Coturnix japonica: one gene and its partner. The protein of the gene in region 1 interacts with the protein of each later gene in a pairwise test. Links are inferred from orthologs where the notes say so. Each region holds a gene or a part of one and is shown on either strand. Other genes may lie near its edges.

Region 1 (4,046 bases):
CCCAAATATCGCCCTGCGGAGCGGCTGAGGCCCGAAGGAGACGGGCAGCAGGGCGAGCAGCAGGACGCGCAACCCGCAGGGCACCCCACGCCCCTGCAGCTCTGCAGCTCGCTCCCGCTCCCCGGCCGCGCAGCAATGCGAAGAATGCGGGCTTGCCGGTTCCTCCCCCCGCCCCTCCGCGGAGCTGGGCGCTACTCACGCTGCAGGGGCAGCTCCCGGCCCGGGCGGGCTGCCGGCATGGCACGGGGGGTCCCCGGCTCCGCGACCCCTCGGCTGCCGCAGGGAGAGCGACTCGGCACCTCGCAAAGTCCGCCGGTCCCGCTCCGCACCCCGGTCCCTCCCACCGCCGTCCCGCACACAAAGGGAAGCCCGGCCCGGCCCGGCCCCGCCCGCTCCCGGTACCGCCCGCTCCCGGTTCCCTCCCGGTGCCGCTCACCGGCCGCCCGCTGCGGCTCCGCTCCCCGCCCCGGTCCCGCCCACCCGGGCGTCGGCACCGGCTGCTCCGCCCCGGTTCGTTGCCCTGGTAACGCCCGGGACCCCCGACGGGCGGCGGTGCCTGGGGGATGCACGGCCCCGCAATGCCACTCTCAGCCCCACGTAGCCCAACTCTGCCACTCAGCCCCTTACAGCTGCTCGTAGTCCCACACAGCCTCTCTCAGTCCTACAGAGCCCCATATAGCCCCTCTCAGCTGTACATAGCCTCACACAGCCCCGACCTGCCCCTCTCAGCCCCTTAAAGCCCCTCATAGCCTTATCCAGCCCCCACAGCCCCTCTCAGCCCCATATAGTCTCTCTCAGCCCCACTGTGGGTGCTGTAGGTGTTCACGCAGGGCTCCCCGTGTCCGTGCAGCGGCTGCCGCTGGTTCAGCGATGACACGGGCGGACACGAGGTGACTGTAAGCATTCCAGCAGCGACTCTAAATGTCGTATTGTCACTGCCTTAATTTACGAGCTGTGAGGGCAAAATAATGTTTATGCAAATAGCTCTGGGCGTTAAGTCATTTCCTGTCCTTTGAATGCTTCAGGTTTTTTGATGGCATTGCAATTATGCAGCGGGCGTACGTTGCGTCAATTGCATCGAGAAGAGACTAAATGGGTGAGGGGAGATGGACGGCTCCCAGAGCAGGACCCCAATGCACCAGGAGATCTGGGTGCCCACCGGGCCGGTGGGGTTTATCCTAAGGATGGTACTCGGGGCTGAGCATGGAAATCCCGACCCTCAGGGCTCTTTCGCATTGGAAGCAGCCCCTCTATCACCCTCATATTGCGCGAGCAATAGGGCTGCCCCCCCACCCCCCTCTCTCCAGCCCCAGCTCACTGCGTGCTGCCTTTGCTTTCTCTCCACGTTCCAACGCGGCGCCGCGGGCTCTGCCCTTCCTTTTAGAGCAGCTCTTTCCCCGTCTGCAAAGCATCCCTCCTCGCTGCCAGCCTGGGAGCAGACATCCGAGTGCCGGCCCGGGATCAATGAGCGCTGGGAGAGCAGCAGGAGGGCGGCCAGCCCCGCTGCCACCTCCTGTGCGTGTGTATGCAATGAGGGATCGGCTCAGCCAGGCGGCTTCATTCCCATTTCCCCCCTATTTGCCCACGAGTGTGGATGGAGGGAAGCCCCATTGATTGTGCCGATGGGGGCCCTTTGCATTTGCAGTCTGCTCTGCCCCGAGCAAATATTTAACCTACATCTGTAACACCTCGGGGGAGATGGGGGGAAAATACGATATCCTGGCCAAAGTTTAACCTCCCCCTCCATTCCCTTCCAGCAAACTGATGGCAGGAATGCAGGCGTGGGCACACCTGGGTGCTCTCTGTAGGAAATTCCCACCGGGAGGATCATCAGATGGAGCGAGAATCATCCCCACAGAGCAATTAATGATAACGCAGCTCAGTGCTGTAACTCCACTCCTCCCTGAGAGCCCCAGTGAGGGGATCCCCGTGCTGAGCCCACAGGAGCAGCTAACGAAACCCCACAGTCCCTCGTTGCCATCTGAGCTCTTTAACGAGTTTTAATTAAGTCTTAGTGTGCTCCTGAGAAATTTGTACTCGTTTCCAAGTTCACAGTGGGAATTAACCCAACCCGCAGGCAGCGATGCTGAGATAGGGCAGCACTCAGGTGACCCGGAGCTGCCCCCACTCACCCACCCAACATCAGCAGCCCTGTCTTTTTCTCCTGCTGTGCAGCTGGAGGGTCCCTGCAGGGCCTGGCCCCATCCCTGCCCTTCTCCCCAGGAGCTGAGCCAGGAGGTGCAAATACAGGCAGAAAGGATGGCAGCGGTCTCCTTTAAAAAAGGCATCCCGTCCTCGGCGAAGCTGTCTATTTTTAGTGCCCTCGGAAGCACGTTTGGTTTTGGAGGAGACGCTCAAGCAGTAATTGTGAATAATTTAGGGAACTGAGTTTGGAGGCTGATGTCAGCAGCCGTGCCACTAAGGGACACTGAGTGCGTGGCTTTGGCTGCTCAGAGCTGAATCCCACAGGGACACGCAGCCATAGGAGCCTCTGTGGGAAGAGCAGTGCTGCTGTGCCCTTCTGGAAGGGGAGAGCAATGGCACAGCTCTGTCGCCTCCCAACTGCTCGGCCTGCAAACTTACCCTGCCATGCATTATTCACAGCTCTCATCTATAATGCACAGCCCTACACCCGCACCTGGAGCTGCATGGCGATGGATGGACACTGCAGCTCACTGCCATCGCTCCCACCCCATGTCTCTCACCTGGGGGCCGGGCCCTGCTGCCCACCGCCTCGCTCCTGGCAGTCCCCTGGTGCTCTGCAGAGCCACGCTCCTCCATTTGCTGTCCTTAGTCCAGCCCAGCACTGAGAGTGCAGCCAGAGCACCCAGCGCATGCATGGCACTGCCTGCTCCCCAAAGGGCCCCCAGGGCGGCTGCTGCAGAGCAACTCTGTCTGCAGTGGAGGAGAAAGCGACGTCTCCTCTGCTCCTGTCTGCCGGTGCCTTAAGAGCAGATTAAAACCCAGCCCTGCAAATTGCTGACACAACCTATTTCTTAGATGGGTGGACAGGTGGACTTTTCTCCCTCTGCAGATAACAGTGCTCAGATGGCAGCACGTTTGCTCCCTGAGTGCAGCCATCCACCCCAGGGTCTCAGGAACACCCAAACCTTTCCTGTTCCTGCAGCAGGAATGACACAGAGCCCCATTTCCCTCCCATCAACCCGCACGTGCAGGCTGTCTGAAGGCAGCCAGGAACGGTGAGAGCAGGGAGATTTGCAAAGCAAACAGCGATCAAACAAAAAGGCTTTGGTTACTGTTCTCGAGGCTGTTTGCCAAGACACACAGATCATATCGGGCTCATTTACAGAAGGAAAACCAACGTAATTAGCGCACAGGAAAACACTTTAATGAAAAGAGCCTTCGTGTAAAAAGCGATGGGACACTGCCCAGTGCTGCAGCAGGACCCAGAGCCATGCTAATGCTGCATGTCCCAGCTCAACATGGTCACACCGCTGTGCTGCATGCACTGCAGCAGGCAGTAACCATGGCAGCAGAGAGATCTGCACGTGATAGCAGCATTTCTGCAGTACAAAGGAGCCTCTTATCTGGGCTGAGCCAATCGCCAGGCTGCTGCTCATTCTTCCACCTTGTGCTAGGACAGAGCCGTGCCATGTCATGCCATCCTATGCCATCCCATGTTGTGCCATGCCATGCTACGCTATATTCTGCCATGCTGTGCCTCGCCATCCTGTGCGATCCCATGTCATGCCATCCTATGCCATGCCATCATATATCATTCCATGCCATGCCATCTTATGCTATGCCACCCTATGCCATTCCACAGCATGCTATCCCATGCCACACTATGCCATACCACCTTATTCCACCCCAGGTCATGTCACTCCATGCCATGCCATCTTGTCATCCCATACCATACCATTTTATGCTATGCCATTCCACACCATGCCATATCACCCCATCCTATGCCATACCATCTTATGCCATTCCATGCCATTCTGTCCTATGCTATTCCATCCCATGCTATGCCATCCTATGTCATGCTCTTCTATTCCATGCCATCTTATGCCATCCTATATCACTCC
Region 2 (4,014 bases), on another chromosome or scaffold:
ATATGCTTTGAGCAGCACAAGCTCTAGAGGCTGCATACTCAGGAGTGCAAATATAACCATATTAATGGTACAGCAATAGCAGCCTGATCTTGGGAAAATTTTAAAGCTTCAGAGTTGTGTATTACTTTGGAATCAGTACTTCTCATTGGGAGAAACAATGGGGAACACACCCCCAGGATTAGGTTTCTACAACAGGTAGAAATACAGATGTATTTCAATAAGCTATGTTGTTCCAGACAACAGTATGGATGTAACAGCTCTATGCCACAGTTAACTGTAAGACAAGGTTTATAGCCACCTTCAGTATTCCCCCTGTGGGGCTCTTAGAAACCATTTCAGCACTTACTGGCATCCAGGATGATTTCTTTTTGCTATTTAAAAGTAATTCTTTAGTAAGATAATGGCTTAGCAAGGCACAGCTTGTGAGTTAGAAAGAAACCTCATTGTTAAAGGTGTCTAAGGGATTTTAAGTCCTGAGAATAAAGCCACCTATATTAACAAGTCTTAATGATATAAAAGCATTGTAGAGCGAAGAGATTTGAGCTCCTAGGTACAAGAACACACTTTACTTGTAAAGATGGAGAACTGAGATTACACAGCTGAGTTCCTAATTCCCTATGCATATATATATATATATGAACAGTATGATGTTCATGTTTGCTATGCAGCACAGATTCTGTTTAACACAAGCTGTTACCTTAAAAGCGCTGCTTCTTCCAAATAGAAAGCCAAGGAGAAAATCTTATTAAATTCTGCCACCAATGGCACTCTCTGCTGGAGGAAAACTAAGTAGGAATACGCATAAAAAGGAGAACCTAATTCACATTATGGTTTATTGAAACACCTCCCCCATCATACCTGTAGGTAGCAATCTCAATGTCCAGGGCCAGTTTGACGTTGAGCAGATCCTGGTATTCCTTTAGGTACCGACCCATCTCGCTCTTTGTGGTTCTCAATTCATTCTCTAGTTTGTTGATTGTATCCTGTTGGAAGGCAGAACACAAGCAATGCAAAAAACCTTTGTGTATATCAACAATGCTTGCAAGAATTCCAGCACCCTCATCACTTCACCTTGATAGAAGGAGAACAGCTCCACATCCCAAAGTGCACAAAGCAACACTGCTTAGCAATGCTGGCACATCTTCCACCCCTACATCTCTATCAATAGCTTCATTCCCTATCATTTAAGGAATAACATTTCTTATGATTCAAGGGCTAAAGCATTCATGAGCTGTGCATGCTTCATTGACAACTGCGCTTCCCCCTCATGCTTTTCCTAATGCTAAGTGAATTCATTGCAATTTGAGGACAGAAGCATCTATGAGCAGCATATACCCCACTTCATTTATGACATCTGTGCTTTTCCCTTACGCTCTCTCTAGCACTAATGCTATTTTTAAGCCAATTCCTAGCTATTTGATTATTTAAGCACTAAGGAATCCATGAGCTGTGCATGCTTTATTTGATTTTTTAACATCTACCCCTAGTTTAACCGGGATATTTTAAGTGCATTTATACTAATTCTCTTATTTAAGGTCTAAAAAGCTGCCTGTGCTTTGTTTTGCTGCTGGTTTTTGATGCATGTGCATTCCCCTTAATGCTTTTCCTACTGTTAAGGCGATTTATAGCAGCATCCTTAAGGATGCCTCAGACCACAATGCTGCACTATGCCACGAGATATCGCTGTGCATCCGCAGCCTCCTCAAACCAACTCACCTGCAGCGCTGAGATATCAGCGCTCTGTTTCTCCTCCAGCTCCTGCAGCTGCTTCTCCAGCGCTTCGTTCATACCACGGGTAGCTTCGATCTCCAGCGTCTTGGCCTTAAGCAGCCTGCGGCTCTCGGATACCTCATCCTTGGCGGCTCGGACGGCGTCTGTGTTCTTAGCAGCGCTTTCGCTGAGCACAGTGAAGCGGCTTCGGAACCATTCCTCGGCGTTCTGCATGTTACGAGCCGCCAGCTTCTCGTACTGAGCGCGGATATCGCGCAGCGCAGCCGACAGATCGGGCTTGGCCGACACGTCCATCTCCACCGACAGATGAGCGTATTGGATCTGAGCTTGCAGCTCGGCCAGCTCTTCCTCGTGCACCTTCTTAAGGAAGGCCAGCTCATCCAGCAGGCTGTCCACGCGCTTTTCCAGCTCCGCTCGTGCCAGCGCTGCTTCATCCGCTCCCTTGCGCACCTCCAGCAGTCGAGCCTCAGCATCCTCGCGGCTCAGCACCTCCTCTTCGTAGCGAGCCTGCAGCCCCCTCAGGGTCTCCTCCAAGCTCTCCCTCTCTCCTTGCAGCGCTTGCTTCTCGCTCGTCGCTTCCTCGGCGGCCAAGCGGAGCTCGCGGATCTCCTGCTCGTAGAGGGCTCTGAAACGGGACGGCTCGGCGTGTTTCTGCCGCAGCACCAGCAGCTCGGCCTCCAGCACTTTGTTCTGCTGCTCCAGCTCGTGCACCCGCTCGATGAAACAAGCGAAGCGGTCATTGAGATCCTGCAGCTGGGCCCGCTCTTGGCTACGGATCGACTTGAGGTCGTTGCTGATGGCGGCTACCTGGCTTAGATCTAGGCTGTCTACCGAGTGCAGGAGGGAGCCTGAAGCGCTGGAGGTGGCGTAACTGCGGCGCACAGACACGGAGGAGACGGGTGCGGAGAGGCTGGAATACGCCGAGCGAGCTGAGCTGTAACCACCGCTCCGCATCGCGGAGACGTGCAGCCGGGGGCTGTCAGCATAACGCCGCTTGTAAGAGGGGAAGAACGGGTCGTAGCCGTACGAGCTCATGGCTGTAGAGGGGATCAGCGAGGGCTCTGCGGACCGGTACCGCCCGAACGCTGGTATTTATGGACGGGGAGGGTGGGAGGAACGACAGCCGGGCGGGGATGGGGCGGAGCGCTGCGTTGAGGCTGCTGTAATGGTGGGGGTCTGTGATGAGCCCGGATGATTATCAGAGCTGGTGATGAAGCGGGTGGGCTGCGTTCACTTTGCAGCTCCATCGTATTCGCCCCACATCGCTATTTTCTCTCGTGCCGCTCTGATGGATCCCCGGGGTTGCAAAGCCCCATCTCGGATCACGATATTGAACCATCACCCCTCTGTACCTCATCACCCCCTCTCGTACCTCAGAAACCCCTGAACGTGTGTATAAATAGCTCATTTCACCTTCCTTTCCCCTTTATGTTTGCAGTTCCAGCGAGGCTCCAGCCTTTCTCCCTCCGTCCTCACCACGTGCATTGTTAGCAGTGGTTCCTAATGACCAGGTAATGGTGAAAGAAAAGACAGTATGTGGTTTGTTGTACCAGCAAAATGCATTAATTCTTGGTTATTCAGCTTTGCTTCATCCTTTGAAACACTCACAGGGGCAAATTTAGAGCATAAGGTCTGAATATTTGGCACAATCTGACTACAGCAGAGACTAAAGCTGCATGGCTCCATCACAGCTACCCCTGGCCCAGGTTATGAGCTGCTAAGAAGAATAAAACAGTATTTACACAGCAGAGATTGCATCTTAAAAATGAAATAGGGAAACATAGCCCAAAAGGTGGTGGTACGTTGTCTCTATGTTGTCTCTCTGACTTAGAAGGGCTAATTTTAGTCCAATACACTTTCCAGGTTTTGCTTAAGGAAGAAGCAAATGCTGAAGCAGCATTTCTTAGCAGGAAGTACTGCAAAAACCTTCTCTTGCTCCCTAAGGAAAGGAGAAAGAAGTAGAATCTGTGTACCTGTCACCAATTGCAATGGTGCTCAGGTTATTTCTTGCATAAAGATAAGCTTGCTTAATGTGAATCATATAATAAAAGCGAGGCAGGGATGGTTTCATTGGGTTCCTTTCTATCTTCTAGTGCTCTCAGAATATTACCTGTTGTTTAGTATCACTCCCATAGGTTACACTGTACTTGATGGTGAGGTGTATTAAGCTGTGTAAGGCAATGGCCCCTCAAAGGCAGAAAGCTGTAATCTCTTCTCATTTGAGCTCACGTTGGATGGAATCAAGCGTGCAAAGAGCAAATAAAAGCTCGCACGTTGCTCCTT

The links.
Region 2: the proteins of KIFC3 (region 1) and NEFL interact in binary tests that used the Homo sapiens proteins (3 or more experiments, as listed by UniProt). The two-hybrid records come from large-scale screens. The link is inferred for Coturnix japonica from reciprocal best matches to the Homo sapiens genes KIFC3 and NEFL.

Annotation. Positions count from the first base shown.
Region 1 is NC_029526.1:1,981,470-1,985,515, forward strand, and holds the start of KIFC3 (kinesin-like protein KIFC3), read right to left. Parts: upstream 2,856-4,046; 5' UTR 2,841-2,855; coding exon 2,706-2,840; intron 1,400-2,705; exon of another isoform or gene 1,319-1,399; intron 502-1,318; exon of another isoform or gene 437-501; intron 394-436; exon of another isoform or gene 200-393; intron 1-199. UniProt on the Homo sapiens protein: Minus-end microtubule-dependent motor protein. Involved in apically targeted transport. Required for zonula adherens maintenance.
Region 2 is NC_029537.1:2,098,876-2,102,889, reverse strand, and holds the start of NEFL (neurofilament light polypeptide), read right to left. Parts: upstream 2,816-4,014; 5' UTR 2,767-2,815; coding exon 1,717-2,766; intron 984-1,716; coding exon 816-983; 3' UTR 1-815. UniProt on the Homo sapiens protein: Neurofilaments usually contain three intermediate filament proteins: NEFL, NEFM, and NEFH which are involved in the maintenance of neuronal caliber.